2 linked regions of the Astyanax mexicanus genome follow. The protein of the gene in region 2 purifies or fractionates together with the protein of the main gene of each other region. This does not show direct contact. Links are inferred from orthologs where the notes say so. Each region holds a gene or a part of one and is shown on either strand. Other genes may lie near its edges.

Region 1 (11,765 bases), on a different chromosome or scaffold from region 2:
TTACTGAACAGGGGATTAGCTGATATGAAGTGCTGTAATAAGAATGTTTTTGGAATGTTTGGAGCACTTTGCAAATGTTCCTTTATTGTTTATAAAAAAAAACAAAGTAACATCACCAAAAAACAGAATTGTAAAATCATTCATTCAAAGTTTTATGCAAATTCTATTTTTGTAGACCAAAATATTTTGTAATTTATTTTTTTCCATTCCAAACAAAAAAATACAAAGCAGCTCTCCCCAAAATCATAGTTAGTTTGTTACAGCTATAAAACTTTGTGTAAATGTGAAAGAAGTATAAAAAAAAAAAAAAAAAAAAAAAAAAAAAAAAAACGAGTGTATCTTAATATTTATTCTTGATGTAGTCAAGTAGACATTTTCTAAAGGCACAATCGGGAAAAAAATGGACCAATTGTACAGGTATAAATTCCATGTTTGTTTTTGAAAATATATCAAGAGTATACAAAGTATGCAATTCAGTTCTATTCCAATTTGCATTGAATTACATTGCTGTCTGTGCAAATCCATTATCTTTCCATGGACCATCTACAGTCCTTATTCTTGGCTATGAATGTTTTGTGTTTTCAGTGCCTTATTTGTCAGTCGTGTCCACTCTTTAAGAGGGTGAGAGATGCTTGCTCCTCCAGGTTGCCCCCTATAGTTCCTGTTCACTGACTGTACTGTAAAAGACTTCATTAATGTTTCTAATGTGTAAAGCAGTGATGAACCCTCTTGTGTTAAACCTCATTTGAAATTGGACCTGAGCTTTTATTTTGTTTTATTTTATGTGTTTGGACATTTGACCAAGCAAGGAGCATACATTAGACATTTTTCAGTCAAAAAGCCTTTTAAAAACACTGTGAGCTACATCTCTTCTGTGCTTCGGGAATAAAATCTGATCTGTACATACCATTGTTTGGTGTTTCAAATGATTACTACACAGATGACAATTACTTGTCATCTAAAACTAAAAAATGAGTTTTGACCCAGAATCAGAGTGCTGTAGAGGTTTTTCCTATATGGGGTTATAGGTGGTTGTAACACTAGGCAACAATATGCAGCTGCCTGTGGTCCTACTGAGCCACAGGGGGATGATGTTTTTAAATTAGATATACTGTATGTTCTGGAGATAAATATCCTGTTTTAACACATACATGCATTTAAAATAGGTGTTAAAATGGCCATTGTAATGTCTGAAAGTCTGTTATTACTTTTCATAAATGTTAATGTGGGTCCACCACCAGATTGTAATGTTATGGAATATTCACAACTGTGCGTAAACAAATAGTGTGTAAAAACTGGTGATTATGCTATTAACTGTGTGGATAGTAAATCCTTCTTTGTGGTATATTAGTAATTTATTTTGGAATAGTAGGTAGCTTTGAATGTTAAACTGATATTCTGGAACTGACACCCCTGATAACAGCATTTAAATTAATTAACAATCAAATACCTGCAGAAATCAGATATTGTCAGTAATCCAATGAATGTGTTTACATGTACATCAGTAATTAAATAATAGGACAATGTTGGGTCAGACAATAACCAGGTTTCTACTTTACAACCAGCCAATAATCTCACAGACAGATGTTTCCAAAATCAATGAATATTTCTATGTTTAGAGTTTTACAGCCCTGAATTCATGGACCTAAAGCAGTACTAAACTGTCCAACTCTCTATTGTTAGATCCTAATATATGTCTATATTTAATAATAATAAATTAATAATAAAATATAAATATATTGTAAAACAGACAAAAACTTATATGTAATGGATTATCTTTCAAGAGAAACTGAAAAAAAAATGAAATGATTTCCAAATGAAGACCATACTCAAGAAAATTCAAAGGCTCTACCATTAAGGCTAATGGCCAAGTTTGGCAGAACAAGAGCACTTCCAGTGGGCCAGACTCTTTTAATTAACACCTTGTAGTGCACTAAAAAAAGTGTGAAGCACCACCACATAAAGACAAGCCACAAACAGTGCCTGAGTCAGAGTAGAGTGAGGTTAAGACGAATTTCCATGCGTTTTTTTTTTTTTCTATAGAGATACCTCAAGCAGAGTTCCACAGCTCTCCAAGCCGTTGGCTGCAAACATTTATATACTCAAGCCTTTTACCCATTCTCTAATTGGCTGTTTGGATTGTATGTTGATCCCAAGTCATTACTGACTTGCCTTTATGGCCACTCCATCAATTAACATCTGGCTAACAAGGGTGTGGGTTCTCCAGCAGGGCGTCAATAATACTGGTGCAGCTTGCATTTCCATATGTGGTAAGCTGAAGTGCATAAGCTTTTGGGGTGCCAGTGACATGAAACCCATGGCAAAGCATTAATCAGCTTGCCTTTTTTTATGTTCATCTCCTGCTCTGACTGAGCTACGACCAGTTCTTCAAAGCTATGTCTTTTAATGTATCCCTTAAAAAACAGATCCAAGAGCAGCAATTAAAGCCGGACGGTGCCACCCTTAGAGCCGTAACACACCTCATTACTCATCCTGCCTGTTTCAGTTTCTACATGCAGCCAGTTACCCCCGCCGTCTCTCTGTCTAAAACAAATGAACAGTCTGGTTATGGTTAGTTCAATTCTTTCATCCATATCTTCCTCTAATCTATTTAATTAAGCAGTGGGGCTGTCAGAATTACTGGCCCATGCTTCTCTGTGGCAGAGTTTAAATTAACCACGCGGTCCATTTCCTTACTATTCACATTCATTCTTTATTATTACTCATGCTCACACAAAACCAAGTGTCATACAATTCATTTATGTTTTATACACGAGGACAATACAAATATATGCTGAACCAACATATATTATTCAAATATTAAAAATAATGTCACTATTTATACTGGTAAATAAAAATGGCAGCAACTGTTTTTTTATATTGTAACTATACAAATAAATGTATGTTTATAAAACATGATGGTCAATGAATGGCTTTGTGCACTCCATCTACTTCACACCCCGTTTTGCCTGCAAAGAAAAATACATTAAGTTAATTAAGAATAAATATTAAAACAATTTAGATATTAAGGTCAGAGAACACATACTATACAAATACAAACAAACTTAAACTTTTAGTTTGCTTAAAGTAACGACAAATAAGAGTGAAAATCCTAAGGGCTTCAAAAACTACCGGTATACACATATATAAGAACACATCATGTACTTCTGTGTTCATATCCATCCAAATGATGCACTCTTCTCTTAATATATACAAATCCAACAGGTGGTTTATTTTATCCAAACTACATAATTTAAGAAGTGAGAAGGGTGGTGTGAAAATTTATTTAGTTTGAAATATGAATGTCTGAATCTGCACCTAAAACAATGACAGCAAAAAAATCCTTCTTGTTGATTGTTCCGCAAAAAAATTGATTTATATAACACCAAAAAGGTCACGCTGTTAAATCTAAGACATTTTTAGTTTCTGTATACAGTTACATTAATATACCACAAGTAACGGGACAGAATAGTATCATGTCTCATGATTTTTGCCATTTGCCATGGAAGATAAAAAAGAAAACCTTCACTGAAATGCAGGATATGCATCTGGGCCCTTCTGTTTCAAATGGCATTTGATTTTCATAAGAACAATTTTTAAAAAGCATAATTTCAAATATTACAATTCAGAGTAAGGACTTTTTGTTTAATTTGCTAATTAATGCCAATCTCTTAATGTTTTCCATTTTATTTAATGTTGTATGAGTTTCAGTACTGACAGACGTTAGTCTAAATCAAATCATGTTCTGTTGTATTCCCATTATATTAAATGTTCCCCACAATTTGACACGTTTGCTGTTATTATACAGTTTGGACACACCTTCTCATTCAATGTTCTTTATTTCTTTATTTATTTTCTACACTGTAGATAAATAGAAAAGACAAAAATAATTAAGGGACAAATATGGATTTACGTAGTAAACAAAAAAAAATCCCCTGACCTAAACCCAACTGAGATTGGGTGATTTGGGATGAGCCGAAGCTTTACAGCGTGACGGAGTAGCAGCGACTATTGTTCAGCTGCTGCTTCAGCACCTTCAGGAACTCCTTTGAGAGGTTGAGAAAACTATTCCACGTGACTCTACATCATGAAGACACTGAGATTAAAATACCCATTTGTGTGTGCAGATCTGTCCCCAAAGATAAATGTGGCCATTTAGAAGAATCATTCCACATGTGTTCCTGAAAAGCTTTAATGTATTCATTATTAAATGTACAATATAAAAAAATATATACATATATATATATATAAAAAAAAGAAAACACACTTAATGAAAAGAAGACCAAACATTTGACAGGTACTGTATACAATAAAACATATTGTAATTCACTGCCTGGCCAAAAAAAAGTCGCCACCAAAAAAAAGGTCACACACTCTAATGTTTCGTTGGAACGCCTTTAGCTTTGATTGCAGCTTGCATTCACTGTGGCATTGTTTCAATAAGCTTGTCATAAGATTTATTTAAATCCAGTGCTGCATTAATTTTTCACCAAGATCTTGCAGGATTGATGATTGTCATGATGCCATCATGGAAGAAAAAAATCCACTGATGGAATAACCGGGTCTATATTCAGTATATTCAGGTAGTCAGCTGACCTCATTCTTCATACTGTTGCTGAATCTAGACCTGACTAACTGCAGCATCAACCCCACATCATTTACTTAGTTAAATCCAGGTGCCGACTTTTTTTTTTTTTGGCCGGGCAGTGTGCTAATGGTTTTAGGTTTACTCACAGCAGAGACAAAGCAGGTCTTCAGGGCTTCAAACTCTTTTACACATAAATCTTTCTTCAGCTCCTGTTTACCAGTAGTAGTGGAGACCACACATTTCCCATAAACTGCTGCCTGTAGGAAAAAGAGTCAGAGAACAGTTAATCAGCTGTCTGTAAATCATTTAGTTTACAGCTGCTGTTAAAATGTTATCGAAAGTCTTGAGACTCGGCTCTCGCAAATAGTGATGTGAACGATGTCATCAACCAATAGGAGATCTACGGGAAGCCGCAGGTCAAGAATATTTGAATATATGACTGTTTACAAACGATTTGAAAGAGAACACAGTTTTCAGTTAATAAGCCTTTTATGTTTCTTTTTCTCTTCTTCTTTCTAGGTAACGTTAGCACTTTAAAGTCATTATATTTAAAGTTATTTTATTTTGCACTACGTTATCTTATTGTGTAGTGTTATTTCTGATACAAACAAATGTAATAAATACACATTTTGCAAGAATGATGTTCTTTATTGCACTAATTCTATCTAAAACAAAGACAAATGTACAGCAGTGAAACTGTGATTCTTTGCTATACAAGGTTGTAGCAAAAAAGGGGGTGGGAAAAAGATGCTTATAAGCAGAGTTGAACACAAAATATATTAAAAAACAAAAGTTGTCAGTCTCTGATAAATCACAGTATTGATATACATATTATTTGTAACTCAGGATGTTATATTCATTGTATGTAAACTCAACCAGAAGCATGATGGGAAATAATCTCAGGAAGAATCTAGTTGCAGTCTTGCAAATAGTGACCCCCAGTCTTTGCAAAATCTTAGTCTGTGAGTAAAAAGTCTGTGACTAGTCTTTAGATGTGAGAGGGTGTCAGACTTTAGTCTGTTAAGCCTTTTCAGAGTCTTTTCAAAGTCATGTAGGACCAGAGGAACAGCAGATGAACACAGCATTGGACAGGTATGGGCACCATCATACAGGTACCTCTGTGAAGCACTGGGCCAGCAGGTCGGGGAACCGCCTCATCCTCTCTCGGCTCCGGGTCCAGGGGTTTGTCCCTGACATGATTCTGATCAGCTTTAAGTCTCAGCACAACCCACAGTTATTAACATTAGCTCACAGGCAGGCTAACTCCTGCACACAGAGAGAGATAACACACATTTAACAGTAAAATACCGCGCTGTTTTACACTGTTTAACAATATACATCAATTACCCATAAACTCCAACACTCAGCTTTAACACTCTGATCAAAAACACATGATTAAATCATATTACTGACAGAAAACAACAGCAGGCACTACTCACCCCGTGCTCACCATGTTAGTGACGAAGAAACGGCCCGCCCTCTCACACCAGTGATTGGTCAAACATCTGTATGACCCGCCCCCTAAAATTGACTATCTTTGCTGATTGGCTACTAAAGACATTTCAGTAAAACAGATGAACCAATGAATCATTAGGGCTTGTGCGGCAAGGTCGTGACAGAACGTTGTAGTACTGAAGAGCGTGATTCAAATTCCAGAATCGATTCTTTTGAACTGTCGTGTTCAATGAATCGACTCTGCTTTTAAATATTACATTTTGACAGCATAGTTGTTTAAATACCTAATCATAAAAGACTACCTAAGAAAAATAAAAATAAGAGACCACCTAAAAATTAGGCATAATGTTATCCAAAAGCAGAGTGTAAGACTGGTGGAGGTGCATGAAAACTGTGGTTGAAAGCCAGGGTTATTCCACCAAATATTAATTTCTGAACTCTTTTGTATAATTTAGGCATTTTAATTATTTAATTAGCTACTTTAATTAAAAAAAATAAGATATTTAAACGTATCCATAATTTTTCTGTTCACCCTGTCATCCTGGGATGAATGCCCATTTTAGAAAGTAATCTTTAAACATCAGTGGCATCAGAATCAGAAGGACTGATGACACTTTCTTTATGTTCAGTAACATTCAGTAATGTTAGGCATTCTTAAACATTTTTCACAACTGTTCCATAACTTAACCCTTTTAACAGATATACATCTATTTTTTAAAATGAATTAATCTAATTAATCTAAATTAATCTGCACACTGAAAGAAAAGCATGGCAGCATCACAGCTAATGAGGCAAAATATTTTTTTCCTATCATGTATTTGGTTTTACTCCACAGGAATGATTTGCAAAATAAAAGAAGGTGTTTAAAAGTTATATAGGATAAAAATAATGTTAAACTAATTATTTTTTATTAGTTACTTTATTTATTATTTTATTTACAAAATAATTAACTTGTTTGTGAGTGCATTACATTACAAACAGAAACAGCATTTTCTTTCATTACTGGAACATAATTCAGGTCTGAACGGGTTAAGAATCGGTTCGAGGTGTTCACTAACAGATGCAGTGATTCGCTAAGTGCACGGTCATCCACCAAGTCACGCACAGCAATGGTACACAGAGCGGTGGACTGCTCATCGGAACGAGATGGCTACACTAATGGAAAGGCTGACTTTCCTTCAGAAAGTAGGTATCAGACACGGCATTTTGTGTGGGAGACCAGCGAGCAAAGATATCTGCTATCTGGATTTTACTCTGGAGTGTTTAGCTACAGTGTGATAGCCGCAGCTAACTGGCTAACTAGCTAACGCTAGCAAACTCCCGTAGAGTTACACAGCAGGGTTAGCTAGCCTGTTAGCTGTCAGAGGATTCTGACATTTATATTTATACTATATTTATATTTTACCCCCTATTTTACTCTTGCTTTCAGCTGGTTTTGCTGAGCGCCGCAGTCTCTAACCCTGTCTTCTCCCTGACTGCTGTTTAGGTGCCGACCCTCATGAAGGCAACAGCAGATGACGAAGTGCCCTGCCCCGGCTACCTCTTCCAGGACATCAACAGTATCCTTCTCCCAGCAGCTTTCACTCTCATTACAACACATTACCCACACAGCTCTGGAAAAAATTAAGAGACCACTTTAGTTTCTAAATCAGATTCTCTTATTTTGCTGTTTTATAGATATATGTTTGAGTACAATGAACATTGTTGTTTTGAACACAACTTGAACACAAAATGAACACAACTGTTCTCCATCAAATTCCTTCACTCACTTCAAATCATAGAAATCTCACATGAGTCATTGGGCTGCTGCCAGTGTCTTCTGGAGTACCTCCTGGAGCGTCTGCAGGTGGAGTCCTGCCATGTGAAACTGAAGGTGAGAGAAACTCAAGCACAAACCTCCATTTGTATCGTAGAGGAGGGAAATGAGGAGTTGATTAAATGTGATTGTCTGTTTCTTTGAGATTTCTCACCCCTCATTTCTCTGTCCAAGGTTCTGAAGATCCTCCTGCATCTGTGTGGACATGGTCCTCCTCACTTTCTCACAGAACTGAGGCGGAATGCTACATTCATCCAAGAAGTAACTGGTAATTAGTGTTTTCTTTTTCATATATTATACGACAAAACGATATTGTAATTATTGCAACAGACCTAGATCCTTTGAATAAAATGGACACTGTACTTGGATATGGTTACTTTATTTACACACATATAGAGTACTTTAAACCCTTATTTTTTGGAGTAGACGTACAAAAGTACCAGCCTAACTTACCGGTACACAACATTTTCACCCATTTCTTAAAGCAGACTGACATGTTGTGTGGTCTCTCAGTTTACAGTGGTCCACCAGATCCCATTCATGGCAATGCTCCCTTTCAAAGGGTCAGGGTTGCAGCGCAGGTGAGATGTGTGTCTTTCTCTGTTAAATACTGAGGTTGTCAAACCTGAGATTTTGTAATTATCTGTTTCTTCCTTTGCCTTATAATATTAACAGTTTATCTGACACATTTAATTTTTAAATGAACAAAGATTTAATGTTTGATTGTGGCTATTTTATAGGAACTGGCCGGTGTGCTGTTTAATGATACAATGTCTGCAAACTCTGGACTCTCGCCATGCAAAGCTGCAACTCCAAGCCTGGGTAAGGGAGCTTTCTTGATGGAAATGTTAAGTTTCTTTTTTTATGGAAAAATGCTGTTTATGTGATGATACCCATGAAAAAAGTTGTGAAGGATTCTGTATTGTCCAACATTTGTGCATGTGTATTTGTTAAGCACGATTCTTATCATTGTCAACTGACTGTTTATTTACTGATAATAACAGCTAATTAAAGAATTTAAGCATAAAGATATTTTCTGTAGCCACAATCTGTGTAATATTCTGTTATTTTATTTTGTTCGGCAGGAATGGGATCAGAATCTCTCCGCTCAGGAATGCAGGGATTTGGAAACAGCCCTGGAAGGAAAACATCCAGTAAGAGAGTAATTTTCACTTTACCAAAACGAACTGTGATTTTTTTTTACAGCAATTAAATGCCTGCATTAAATTATGTAGCTCCATGTATCTGTCCTCATCCTCCATATATACAATATCTCTTCCCAAGACAGAGCGACTCTTCTGGGTAAAATTCAGAAGGCTGCAGAGGTAGTTGCCAGTGCTGTCCTTCCACCAACAGAGCAGCCTGGGATTCGTCTATATGACAACCACTATCGGGCAGTGGTTGCTCCCTCTGCTGCAGTGGAGGTGGCAATGCCAGCATGTGCTTACAGTGTGCCCACTCACAGCCACAAAGGTTAGCTGTGCACACACAGACCCTCATAACAGCTCTTCGTCCAAGCTATGGATTCTGGATTCTGTTTATATACGGGAGTTTTGTTCATCATTAAAATCAAATTCCTTATTTCTAGCTTCTCACAGATGTCCAGGACAGGCAGGTGGAGGTTGGGAGGAGACTGGTAGTGGGCACAGCTCCTCTCACAACTCTTCTCTTGAGATTGAGCCACTTAGCCACACTTCCAGGGGGGACAGCAGCAAATCCGGTGAAACAGGCAGCCATTCGGGGGCCAGTCGAGAGAGTGGAGACTTGGCAGAACGGTAAGGGATCTCATTAGTCTGCTTGAAACTTTTTTCCCCACTTTGTGGTTCTGTGAATAAAGAGCTTGAGGGAAAGTTGTCTGAATTCATGAACACAAGACTAGTGTTCATGTTATGGACACAATTTAACTCTAGAAGTAATAATAAAATGCACATTTATTTATAGCATGTTATGAAGAATTAGTATTTTTTCTAAAATGTTCATGGGTGAAACCTAAAAGCTTAGTTATAAGCTTTTATTTATATTTTACATAGAATTTATTTATTAATGCATGTAGGATCTGTGAGTGAATAGCCCACTGTAAAGGTAAATATTTTCTCTCTCAGTGTGGAGGCCATGCAGTTGGGAGACTGTGGTCAGGAGATGGCGCTGATCAGCAGTCTTACTAATGGTTCCAAAATCTTCCTGTCCAGAGATGAGAGCCAGCACTTCATTAAAGAGTAAGCATTTGTATATTGAGGCTGTATCCCAATAAAAGTATAAAAAATACTTGTTGGCAGTAAAGTCAGATTAATTAACTGTTTCTTTGTCCTGCTTCTCTAGGTGTTCTACTTTAAACTGTGAAGTTGTGGTAGAACTTCTCTCTCACAAATTGAAGGAAACAGCACAGACTGTCCAAATGGTACATTTATTTATTCTTTAGTATTTGCTATCTCATGTCTCTGTTTGGCAAAGCAACTGATAAAGCAAGTTCTTTCTCCTCTCCGCAGAGGGCCCTGTGTGGCCTGGCCTGCCTGATGTCTACAGATCTCCTCTCTCTGGACCAGATATTCTGTGTTACACATAAGCGCCTGGCCCAGCTCAGTGAGGAAGTGGAAGGACCTGTAGCCAACAAGTCAACAAAGGTTAAATAAATTGCTTTAAATCTTTGTATCTTTAGTGATAGCAGTGGGTGTACAATTCAGATCAGGAAAATAAAAATCCTTCCTAGAATTTTGCTCCCATTTCCTGGAAAGCTGTGCTGCAGCTCAGTCGGGAAGGATTTTTACTTTCTGGACCTGATTTCTCCACCACTGAGCAACAGCTGTTTATACTAGTATTGTATGTATTATTGAATATATTTTATCTCTCTTATGTACTGTATAGCTCCTTAGACAGTTTGAGGCACTCCTGGGCAGCTCCACGCCCCTGATGAAGACTGGCATTGCAGTCTGTCCAGAATCATCCAGCCCCTCGCTCTCAAAGCAGCCATTAAATCCCACCATTGTCAGCCCACTTCTTCTCCCAACTACTCTGGATGTTGAAGCACCTTCTAGCATGTCATCCACAAATTTCCCACATGCTCTTTCTTCTGAACATGGTCTAAAACAAGAGCATACTGTGACTGCTGCTGCTGTGGGAGAATCTGCTGAGAATGGAGTGCAGGTAGAGGACCCGCAGACTGTACATGAGGATGAGGACAAATACACAGAGCCCGCTAGACACCATCCTACTCTCTCACTGTTTAGTGGGATGGAGCTGGTAAACAGAGGGAAGCCTGTGTGTCTGGTTGAGCCTGTTCTTGTCGAGCCAGATGTCCAGACTGGGGCAGAAGGCTACACAGGCTTTGCTGTGGAGAAAAGCTCAGAAAGAACTGCAGACTCCTCTTTATCTACTAGTGGTGAACAAATCTCTGCCTTTTCCTTCGTCAACCTCTGATCTTCCTTTGCCTTCTGATTGAAACACCTTGGTCCAGGGTGTAGTATTATTTAATGACCTAAAAGTAATATTTAAACACCAAACCCCTCAATGCTCCTGATGCCAGCCTTTGTTATTTTAAACTAATTCTGAAAAATATTAAATGAACAAGTCTGCAGTATGCTAATTTTCAGGGAGGAACACGGGAGGTACACCTGAGGCATTGGTGCATGAAGTAATAAACAAAAAAAAAAAACACTTAATATTTATGTATCCAAATGCTGCTAGTTTTTTTTTTTCCAGGGACTGTGCTTGACAAGTATAACAATGCTGACACAATACACTTTTTAAAATGAATTTTATTGTTTTAATACCCACAAATTCACTGAATATCTCTGCTCTGGAAATAAGCAGAACAGTTAAAAAGGGAAAGCTGTAACGTTTCACTGCCCAAGATTTTTAATCTGCATTTTCACTTGGTCTGGCTACCTAAATATGGCTTAGTGTGTGTAG
Region 2 (11,479 bases):
TTATTAATTTATATAAAAAAGCATGGAAGTAAACACAATGGGTAATTTTGAGCACCGCAAAAATGAGTGATTTTGTGTCCATATATTGTATGATTGATTGATCGATCGATAACATGATTATATTTACAGGCCTCAGGCCTACAAATTAGGTAAATATTAATAATTAAAAGTTAATGGATACACCGTTTAAATAGCGCTAAAAAGAGACTGTACAGAAAGGGGAAATGTAAAATAAAAATATGGAACCTTTAATGAAAAAAATGTTATTTACTGCACCTTTAATGATGCAAATCACGTATAACTATACAAGAACAGTATTCAAACAATTAAACGATTCGAACCTCCTCAGTGCGTGGAGCGTCCTTCCACATCTCCCCCCAGTTGTGCTCGATCTCCTCTTCCTCTCGACGAAGGTAATCCTCCACCTCATCCTTCTCTTCCTCTTCCTCGTCCTCTGAGCTGGTCTCGACGTTTCCTTTTCCTCTGGCCAGATCTGGACCACTGTCACTTTCATCTTCAGAATCTTCATCATCATCCTCTTCAGAGTCTTCTTCTTCTTCATCGTCAATGTCATTTTCTGCTGAGAGACCTTCTTCTTCATCTTCATCCTCCTCTTCCTGCTCCTCATCTTCCTCTCCTGTATAAACAGAGGAATATGTATTAATAAATGTACTACTTAAAGTTACACTCATTGCAGACAATGAGTAGGTGCCTGACCTTCTAATCTAAAATATTCTTAATTTAAAAAAGTATTTGGGCGATCATTTTTTTTTTTGCCGATATCACAATTTAATGAATATATTCTGCAACAATACAAATACAAAAGTATTATTTAGTATATATATAAAAGTCTGAAAATAATAATATATTTACAGGTATAAAAATCTAAACTAAACCTTTGCCTTACTACTAACATCTACTAACATCTTGATTTGTATAAAATAATAAGTGTAACAACATGATAAATATGATGAAACTAAAGCATATTTACTGAATACAAACCATTTAAAGTAAATGCAGTAAATAAATTAAATACAAACATAAATATACAAAATGGATCGTTTTCAACAATATTATAATCACCTATATCCACATAATTGTGGAACAAATCATATAATTAATTGTAATATAACTAACTATATAAAAAAATAATAGCTTAGGTTTGTGTTTTATGTTTTCTAAACTGATAACTCTTAGCATTTCCCCAGTCAGCAAACCCTTAACACCTTATCAACCACCGAGCAACACCTGAAGAACCATCTTGCAACACCATAGCAGCCACATAGCAACATTTTAACACCACCCGGAAACACCTTAGCCACCACTGAGCAATGCCTTAGCAACCATCCAGCAACACCTTAGCAAACACCGAGCAAGAGCTTAGCAACCACCTAGCAACACTTTAGCAACTACATAGCAACACCACCTAGCAACCACCGAGCATCAGCTTAGCAGCCACACAGCAACATCTTAAAAACACCTAGCAACCACCAAGCAACAGCTTGGCAACCACTGAGCAACACCTTAAGAACCACCCAGCAACACTTTAGCAACCACCGAGCATCAGCTTAGCAGCCACACAGCAACATCTTAAAAACACCTAGCAACCACAGAGTAACAGCTTAGCAGCCACATAGTAACATCACAACATCTAGCAATACCTTGCAACACCTTAACACCATCTAGCAACACCTTTGCAACCACCCAGCAACACTTTAGCAACCACCCAGCAACACATTAACACCAACCCAGCAACACCTTAAGAACCACCCCACTACACATTAACACCCACCTATCAACGCCTTAGCTGCCACATAGCAACAGCTCAACACCACCTAGGAACACCTTAACACCACCTAGCAACACCTTAAAAACCACCCAGAAACACCTTAAGAACCACCCAGAAACACCTTAAGAACCACCCAGAAACACCTTAAAAAACACCCAGAAACACCTTAAGAACCACCCAGAAACACCTTAGCAACCACCCAGCAACACCTTAGCAATCACAGAGTAACACCTTAGCAATCACAAAGTAACACCTTAGCAACCACCTTGCATTATTTACCTTCTTCTATCACTCTCACTCCTTTAAGCAGCTCTGATGATGACGTGGTTTTCCCAGTTTTTTCAGACTCTTTGGTTTTTAAAGCCTTCTTGCTTTTCTTTACAGTTTTCTTAGGTGCAGGTTCCTCCTCTTTTTCCTTCTGAGCCTCCTGCTCCTCCTCCACTCCCTTTTTTCCTTTCGTCTTCTTTTTCTTCTCTTTCTCTTTCTCCTCCTGCTCCTCCTGCTCCTCCTGCTCCTCCTGCTCCTCCTCTCCTCCGTCGGACTGCTCCGAGTCCGAGACCTTGTAGAAACGCTTCAGGTCCTCGGTGGAGGTGTGGCTGACCGGCCGGCCGCGTTTATCCACCGTGTACTTCAGCTTGAAGCGCTCGTCATGGAACATGGACTGGAACCTCTTATCGATCCGGACCTTCTTCTCCACGTCCGGAATCTCCCAGAAGCGAGGATCCTTAGTGATCTTGGTGAAGCGGTCATCACAGCTCGGCTGCTTCTTAGACGACATGATGGAGCTACAGCTTCCTTACACACAGAAACCTGCTTAGAAAACAAAGAAAAATAGTTAAATTACTTTATTTGATAATTTTTTTCAAAGTGTGTATCACACAACTGTTTAACTGTTTAGTATTATCAATATTTAAGCACCAATTTCAGCACTAATTGCATACAGTGCAAAAACATGGAGATCAGGTACATTGGATACTCTAAATTGCCCAGAAAAATTGAATACTCTAAATTGGTCTGGTAAATTGAATATTCTAAATTGATCTGGTGCATTGAATACTGTAAATGGCCCAGAAAACTGAATACTCTAAATTGATCCGGTGTGTGTGTAAATGTGTGGTATGTATGTAAGTTTGTGTCTGTGTAAAATGGGCGTAAATGTGTGTATGACTGTGCCCAGATATAGATTGGCACTCTGTCCTGGGTAAATGCTGTAGTGCTCGATGCAGTCCTCCAGGTGGACGGTTGTTTCCGGTTGAGAGTACGCTGTGCGCTTTTGGCTGCCGCTTCTCACCGGTGTGTGGATGAGTGTTGATGTGTAATGTGCTTGTGTGTAAAAACGTGTAAATTGTAAAGCGTCCTTGGGTTTCTAGAAAGGCGCTATATAAGTTGAACTTCATTCATTCATACAGTTAAACCCACTAGCACTCGATGGGTAAAGAATTATAGAACCTCAGATAAGACAATGTCCAAACCACTGGAGTTCAACACGCTTGAAGGAGAACACTAACCACCAGTACTGTTACCATTACACTGAGTAATAATTCATTTCTACAAGACCCATCATTTTACATCTTCTCTTTATCTGTTAGAATCTAACATACTATTTTTGCTACAGTTATATTATTAAGACTGACATATAGTAACAGTCAAAAGTTTGGACACACCTTTGATTTCTAAATTGTAGATTCGTATGAAAAACATTAAACGATTAAGGGATACATATGGAATTATGTCGTAAACATTTAATAAAGTGTTATTCCTCCACATTAATCGGTGATATGAGGTGATTTGAGGTGATTTAATTGTGATGAGCTGGAGATTCACAGCGTGAAGGAATAGCAGCAGCTATTGTTCAGCACCTCCAGGAACTCCTTCCTTCAGGACTCTGAGAAAACTATTCCAGGAGACTCTCCCTCATGAAGACACTGAGATTAAAATCTCACCAACAGTGTGCAGATCTGTTCTCAAAGATAAAAATCCTTATTTAGAAGAATCTAAAGTAGCTATAAAACAGATTCTAGTTTGTTTAACACTGTTTGTTTACAGAATAATTCAGCATGAGTTCCTGTATAGCTTAAATATAGTCTTCAATAATACATTAACAATGTAAATCTTTGATTTAAGCAAATGTAAATCCTCTGGAATATAATCAAGAGGAAGATGGATGATCACAAGCCATCAAACCAAACTGAACTGCTTGAATTTTTGCACCAGGAGTGATTAGCATAAAGTTATCCAAAAGCAGTGTGTAAGACTGGTGGAGGAGAACATGATGCCAAGATGCATGAAAACTGTGATTAAAAAACAGGGTTATTCCACCAAATATTGATTTCTGAACTCTTAAAACGTTATGAATATGAATATGAATTCTTTGCATTATTTGAGGTCTGAAAGCTCTGCATCTTTTTTGTTATTTCAGCCATTTTTCATTTTCTGTAAATAAACGCACTAAATTACAATATTTTATTAGGAATTTGGGAGAAATGTTGTCTGTAGTTTATAAAATAAAACAACAATGTTTATTTTACTCAAACATAAAATAGGAAAATCAGATAGACAGTAATCAGAGTTACTGTAGTTAGATATGTAGTATGATAACATTAGTTAGCATTAGCCTCTGCTGCTCAGTGATAAACAGGTGATTTTAATGTTATTAATGGTAAAGGAATAAAGTCAGTAGATAATCTGATACAGCAGCGGATTGTTAATCTCTCTGCTGTTTAAATAAACCGGATTTAAAGTGTAAAACAGTGTAAATAAGGTAAATTAGAGCTGTAAGATTCTCACCACTCTCTGATCCTCCACTCCACACACCATCCACGTGTTACCCCTGACCTCTCCTAGCTCCGCCCACCCACACTACGGCAAGCCTGGGGACCCAAAAAACATCCCGTCCCTGCCTTCATTCTGAATGTGTGAGAATTTTATATCTATATTATTTCAATACCTACAGAAAACTGCAGAAACATAAAGCCAGAGTAATTTAAGTGTTTTTAAATAGACTAATTACACTAGTTAGACCCCCTAATATGCAGATTGGAACACAACCTGTATTTGAATGAATAAAACCCACGTTATGCAGCTGCGGGACGTGTTCCAATCTGCGCATTAGTGTTACAAAACAAGATAATCACTACAACAAGATACCATACAGCTTTGGAAAAAAATAAGAGACCAATTCAGTTTCTGAATCAGGTTTTCTTATTTTGCAATTTATAGGTTTATGTTTGAGTAAAATGAACATTGCTGTTGCCCAAATTCCAAATAAAAATATTTTAGTCATTTAGAGCATTTATTTGCAGAAAATGAGAAATGACTGAAATAATAAAAAAGATGCAGAGCTTTCAGACCTCAAATAATGCAAAGAAAACAAGTTCATATTCATAAAGTTTTTTAGAGGTCAGAAATCAATATTTGGTGGAATAACCCTGGTTTTTAATCACAGTTTTTTATGCATCTTGGCATCATGTTTTCCTCCACCAGTCTTATACACTGCTTTTGAATAACTTTATGCTTCTTTACTCCTGGTGCAAAAATTTAAGCAGTTCAGTTTGGTTTGATGGCTTGTGATCATCCATCTTCCTCTTAATTTTATTGAAGAGGTTTTCAATTTGGTAAAATTAAAGAAACTCATAATTTTTCAAGTGGTCTCTTATTTTTATCAAATGCTGTTTGTAGTTAATGCATATATATATTTTCTGACATATATTATGCTATACTAATTAAGCAGTTAATTGAATAATTAATAATGTTTGTGATGACACAATGCCATAAGTGAATGATAAATGTTATTCTGAAAGAGATTTATTTATTTTTGCTTGGCACCTAACTCAAGTCCACTTGATAGTGTACAAGTTACCTGTTGTGAATTGGAACACGCACATAAACCCACGTGACTGTTGAGACTGCAGACGGAAGGTCAGCGGTTTTAAAATGCACTTGTTACTGTAGAGTTGATTTTATTAAGTTATGTTTTACTAAAGGTAATAAATGATGAACAGTGTGATTAATCTAAGAGCTCTGAGGCGGGGCTGTGTGCTCTGCCTCGGTCTGCCCCCCCGGATCAGCTCCCAGCCGGCGCGGAGCTGCAGCTCTGCTGACCGGGCTGCACTCCCCCTGCGCCGGCTTCACCCTGCGGCTCAGCCCCGCGGTCTGTCCTCCAGAGCCGGAGGAACCATGAACGTGTTCGACAGAAACATGAAGAAAAGGCAGAAGAGCTGGGCCTCCGCCCTGCAGGACAACCACAAGTACGACTATCTCAGAGATGAGGTCAGAGACACGCGATTATCAATTTAATCCAGTAGCTCACCGATTACTCAGACGATTAATCGAGTAGTCTGTTTATTATTGAGATGATTGATCGAATAGTCTACCGAGTATTGCGACGATTAATCGAGTAGCAGCCCAACGATTATTCAGACGATTAATCAAATAGTCTACTGACTATTGAGACAGTTAATCGAGTAGTAATATCAAATAATAAGACGATTAATCGAGCACTCTACCAGTTATTGAGATGATCATAAAGTAGTCTACCGATAATTGAGAAGATTAATTGAATTGTCTACCAACTATTGAGGCGATTAATCGAGTAGTCTACCGATTATTGAGTCAATTAATTTAGCAGCCCATTGACTATTTTGACGATTAATCGTGTAGTCTACCGATCATTGGGACGATTAAGTCTGCTGATTATTGAGTGGATCAATCCAGCAGCCCACTGATTATTGTGACAATTAATCGAGTAGTCTGACGATTATTGAGACTATTAATCAAGTAGTCTGACGATTATTGAGGCGATTAATCAAGTAGTCTACCAAATATTGAGATGATTAAAGGAGTAGTCCATTGCTTAGTAAGACGATTATTTCAGCAGGCCACTGATTATTCAGATGATTAATCAAGTAGTCTACCGATTACTTTTCATTATTGTTGGTCTTCCCGATTATTTAAAATTTGGATGGTTTGAGTTTTAATAATTCTCTGAACATTGCAGGTTGGAATCAGAGTTGCGGACAGGGTTTACGACATTGCGAGGTAAGGTGATATGGTGATGTTGTGTATCTCATTCTGATCTCTACTCTATCAGCAGCGTTTATACATCACTGTTTCTGGTGTTTCTGCAGGACCTTCCCGTTAGCGCTGGACGTTGGCTGTGGAAAAAGCCACATTGCCGAGCACCTGAGCAAGGTAGACCTGCTGGATCTTTTCTGAGCTTATCTCTGATTATCCTAAAGGTGTAGGAAAGTACTAGTACTTTACTTTTTTTGGATTATAAGGCGCACTCTTAATGAACGTCTATTGTCTGGTCTATTTTCATACATAGACGCACAGGATTATAAGGCGCATTATGCAACACTAGTAAGGAACAAGGGTGTCACCACATTTCCTTTCTAATGGGGAAACTGAGGGAAGTGCCTAATTAAACAATATTCAGTATCTTTAAAAAAATCAAATGAGCGCCGGATGTTATCCTACACAGATTTCTCTCATGAAAACTGTTTATTAGGGTTTATTTACAGTAAGCTTAGATTTACAATATTTTTAATAGTGCGGTTAGCGCTAGTAAATGCCGGCTAATAGCGCTAGACTAAGGAACCCCAGCTAGCGGTTCATCCCACGTAGCTTGTTTTAACACGGTAAACACACAGACTACAGTTCAATATACTCCCCTCTGAACAGTGAAAAGCTAGCGCTGTGGTAAGCGGCTAATGCTAATACTGCTCCAGCCTTAGTGCTGGAGAAACTTAACTGAAAACTCTCCCTTATAACTCTGTACTTCAGCAGAGTGACTTTACTGCTCCCTAATACCTGACTGGTAGAATTTATACAACGCACTGATGATATTTGGGAAAATTAAAGAATATTTGATATTACTTCTAGCATATTAAATACATACTATATATTAAATAACTAGTCCGTTCTCTACGTTTCTGTTTTTCAGGAAGTTGTGGAGCGCTTTTTCCTCACAGACATTTCGGAGGGTTTGCTGGTAAGTAGCGGTGCTGGAAAGTGAAGGAGAAGATCAGGAGATAGTAAAGAGTGAATTATATTATATATTGTGTATATATTGTGTGATTCAGAGGCAGACGAAACCCTGTGAGATGCCCACTCACTGCGTGCTGGCGGACGAGGAGTTCCTGCCGTTTCAGGAGAACACCTTTGATCTGGTGGTCAGCAGCCTGAGGTAAATCTATTATTCATCAATACACTAATAGATAAAGTATGCTGGGAATCTTCATGTATTTTAATTAGTAGTTAAACTGAACATTTTTTACTACTTAAATTATATGCATCTCCAAAATATTACCTTTACAGGGCACGTAAATTTACCATGCTACCTTTCTGTGGAAGTGAATATCGTCGATGTCCTATGAAAAACACTTTTCTCGATTTTTGTCAATTTTTATTTTATTACATAATTTGAACAGGCAAACTGTCCCTTACATTGTGCCAAAATTTCTTGATGAACGGACCAATAGAAACTCTTCAAAATGACCTGAAATAAACTCTTTTTACATTGACTTCCATTGAAAGTTTAGAAGGTTTGTTCTCTCTCTTGTAAAGTTGCTGTTTTGGAGATAAGTGTTTTTCTTTGGACAGCGACGATACATTTCTCTTATTTTTTCCAGAGCTGTATATATACAAGGATTTTGGGTGACTGTGTTTACAAAAAAGTGCACATATTAAACAATATTTAAAGTGTGATTATTTCATACAGATTAATCTTTATGAATATGTTCTTGTATACTATTAAATATAATAAACACAATATAAACTGCAGCAGGGTATTTTTCATTACCATCATTGTGTGTTTGTTGTTTATAGCATGCACTGGATCAATGATCTTCCTGGAGCTTTGAGACAGGTATGTTTTATTTGTATTTGCTGGTTTATTTATTTGAAGTAACAGTGTAGTTTTTTGGTGAGAAGTTGAGGTACTTTTAAAACGTTAATTGTGGGCCAGTTTCTATTCAGAGTTAATTAATCTGGTAATTTTATTTAGGATAAGCAGGGTTTTGGTTGCTCAGATAACCAGCAAATCCTGTAATAACCAGAAAAAGGTCCTGTAGGGACCTACCAGACACCATGTTTTTAAAATGAATATACCGGTATGTGGCATTGCAGGAATGATAGCCAAAGCATATTGATGCCATTTATTGTAATGTTCTGCCCTCTGGTTCGCTGGTTTGAATCCCGCTCATGGGTGGGTACAGTAAATGGCGCTTTTTCCTCTCATCACTCTTAGGGTGATGTGGATCAGCACAAGGCTGCGTCTATGAGCTGATGTATCAGAACCGCTTTCCTCTGAGCGTTAGTGCTGTGATGCTAATTTGGGGAGAAAAATGGGCTTAGGGTTCTCTCTCTCTCTCTCTGTAGATAAACGGTGTGCTGAAGCCGGACGGGGTGTTTATCGGGGCGATGGTTGGTGGTGAGACGCTGTATGAGCTGCGCTGTTCTCTGCAGTTGGCTGAGCTGGAGAGGGAGGGGGGCTTCTCCCCCCACATCTCCCCCTATACCGCCGTCACCGACCTGGGCAACCTGCTCAGCCAGGCCGGCTTCAACATGCTCACCGTGGTGAGGAAATAAGAAATAAGAAATAAGAAAATAAGAAATGGCTGAAATAAGGGGTTCATCACTCAGCCAGACAAACTGCAGCCTCTCCAGCTGGAGGCGCCACTGGACTGTTCTTATGCAGCATCAGAAATCAACCAGTGTTTCAGTCTAATCTGTATAATAGAAGTATAATAATGTAAAGAACCTTGATTTAATGTTTTTAAACATCTTAGACATTATGCATTTTATAAAATACTACAAAAGGTCTTAATACAATAAAATACAACAATAAAATCTTAACTAAAATATTGAAAGTTAAGATTTTATTTTTGGAGATACAAGGCTTTTTTTGCCTGACCATGACAATTTAAATAATATTAAAAAAGCGATTTTTTTTGGTACATAGAAATGCCAACTTAAAACTGTATTGTAATGTAATACAGTGTCAATCGATCAATTAATCCACCTTTAATTTCACTATTTATTTTTTTCACACTTAAAATTTGAAAAGAAAATTATAAAGTCTTTTAACAGGTTAGGCTAAAATAAGTTAACTCATAAACAAAAAAATACAAAAATTAAAGGGCAAAAGAATAAAAAAACAAACAGACAATTAAGATTTTATTTAGAATAATAAAAATAAGCAAACAGTAGAAATAAAATAAAAAGGTAAAACAGAAAATAAACTAAAATGATTAAAAACAGAACTGCTGATGTTATTAGTAGCTGTTTTAGGCCAATGATTACTGGTATATAAAACTTGCACTTACTACTTGCATTAGCTACCGAACACCTTGGCTAATTAGCGTCATGCTAAGTAATGTTAAAGAGGGAGGGCCGTCCTATCCACCCAACTCTTAGACTATTGCTTCACCCAGGAGCCCATTGGCTTCTATTCTAAATTATTTTTTTTCATCAGTTTATTTTTTTTTATTTTTCATATTGAATATACCTGTGTTTAAACTGTATGGAGGTAATCTTTCCTGTATTGATTGCAGGATGTTGATGAGATCCAGGTTAATTACCCAGGGATGCTCGAAGTCATGTCAGATTTACAAGGTAGAGTTTCTGCCTCATTTTCCAAATAATTAAAGGATAATGAATGATTAACACATCTCTATATGTATGATGTATTTATGATTTCAGGTATGGGAGAGAGTAACTGTGCGTGGAACAGGAGATCCCTCCTGCACAGAGACACCATGCTAGCAGCAGCTGCTATTTATAAAGGTGAGTTCATAATAAATATGGACATTTTTATCTAGTTAATATGTGTAGAATATATTAATAATTATTATATATTACAACCCTGTACAGCCCTAACTAGAGTTATATAAAGCTTAAGTAAAGAGAGCAGTAAAGCACTGATATCTGCACTGTTCTTTGTTTTAGAGATGTACGGTAATGAGGATGGGTCCGTCCCGGCGACGTTTGAGATCCTGTACATGATTGGATGGAAGCCTCATGAGTCACAGGTTTGTTGTAATTTCATTGGCTCTGAATTCTCTCATTTTAATCAGTTATGATGCATTATAGCCAGTGAGAAATGTTCAGTGTGACTGGCTGCAGTACAATCCCAAAGCATGATGCATGCATGATCCATGATCCATCCACCCCCATGCTTAACAGTTGGCAAGCAGTTTTTTCATAATATTTTTCACCACAACCATACTTACTGCTACCAAAAACTTTCTCAGTGCACATAATTTGTTTCCAAACTACATCAGGCTTGTTAAGATTTATTCCTTTAAGAAATCTTCTGACAATGATTATTGTGGTGAGGACACAGGACACACTTTTTTCTGAGGTCCTATTTGAGCAGGTATCACTGCACAGTAGAACAGTGCACCCCCACTCCAAACTCTGCTAAAGTAGTTTTTTTGCAAGCATTTTTTTTAGCAATTGTAAAATTGTGGAAAAAGGCTTTGACATAATAAGCTCATTAAGGTTTGAGACCTTAGTAAAATCTGCTAGATTTTTAGACTTTTGCACAAAAAGGTTTAAACTAATTAACAAATCATGTTAAACCATGTAATATTGAAAGAATCATTACATCAAAAGTTGCTGAAAATTTCTTGGAGTACCCAAGTGGCGCAACTGTCTAAGGCTACGTTCACATTACCTATTATTAGG

Evidence for each region.
Region 1: the proteins of ndufaf5 (region 2) and ndufaf8 purify together in Homo sapiens (affinity purification with mass spectrometry; 3 studies listed by BioGRID and IntAct, counting the BioPlex papers as one, with this or other methods). This does not show direct contact. The link is inferred for Astyanax mexicanus from reciprocal best matches to the Homo sapiens genes NDUFAF5 and NDUFAF8.

Annotation. Positions count from the first base shown.
Region 1 is NC_064422.1:33,105,749-33,117,513, forward strand, and holds ndufaf8 (NADH dehydrogenase [ubiquinone] 1 alpha subcomplex assembly factor 8), read right to left. Parts: upstream 6,133-11,765; 5' UTR 6,028-6,132; intron 5,855-6,027; 5' UTR 5,786-5,854; coding exon 5,705-5,785; intron 4,846-5,704; coding exon 4,735-4,845; intron 2,970-4,734; coding exon 2,949-2,969; 3' UTR 2,701-2,948; downstream 1-2,700. Other genes in the region: AP-4 complex accessory subunit Tepsin, read left to right, coding at 7,190-7,228, 7,530-7,602, 7,825-7,916, 8,034-8,127, 8,373-8,440, 8,600-8,681, 8,945-9,013, 9,144-9,332 and 5 more. UniProt on the Homo sapiens protein: Involved in the assembly of mitochondrial NADH:ubiquinone oxidoreductase complex (complex I, MT-ND1). Required to stabilize NDUFAF5.
Region 2 is NC_064428.1:34,487,650-34,499,128, forward strand, and holds the start of ndufaf5 (arginine-hydroxylase NDUFAF5, mitochondrial), read left to right. Parts: upstream 1-5,662; 5' UTR 5,663-5,779; coding exon 5,780-6,058; intron 6,059-6,785; coding exon 6,786-6,826; intron 6,827-6,915; coding exon 6,916-6,979; intron 6,980-7,733; coding exon 7,734-7,781; intron 7,782-7,872; coding exon 7,873-7,976; intron 7,977-8,617; coding exon 8,618-8,657; intron 8,658-9,169; coding exon 9,170-9,367; intron 9,368-10,344; coding exon 10,345-10,405; intron 10,406-10,492; coding exon 10,493-10,576; intron 10,577-10,738; coding exon 10,739-10,821; intron 10,822-11,479. Other genes in the region: ESF1 homolog, read right to left, coding at 342-637, 2,069-2,567. UniProt on the Homo sapiens protein: Arginine hydroxylase that mediates hydroxylation of 'Arg-111' of NDUFS7 and is involved in the assembly of mitochondrial NADH:ubiquinone oxidoreductase complex (complex I, MT-ND1) at early stages. May also have methyltransferase activity.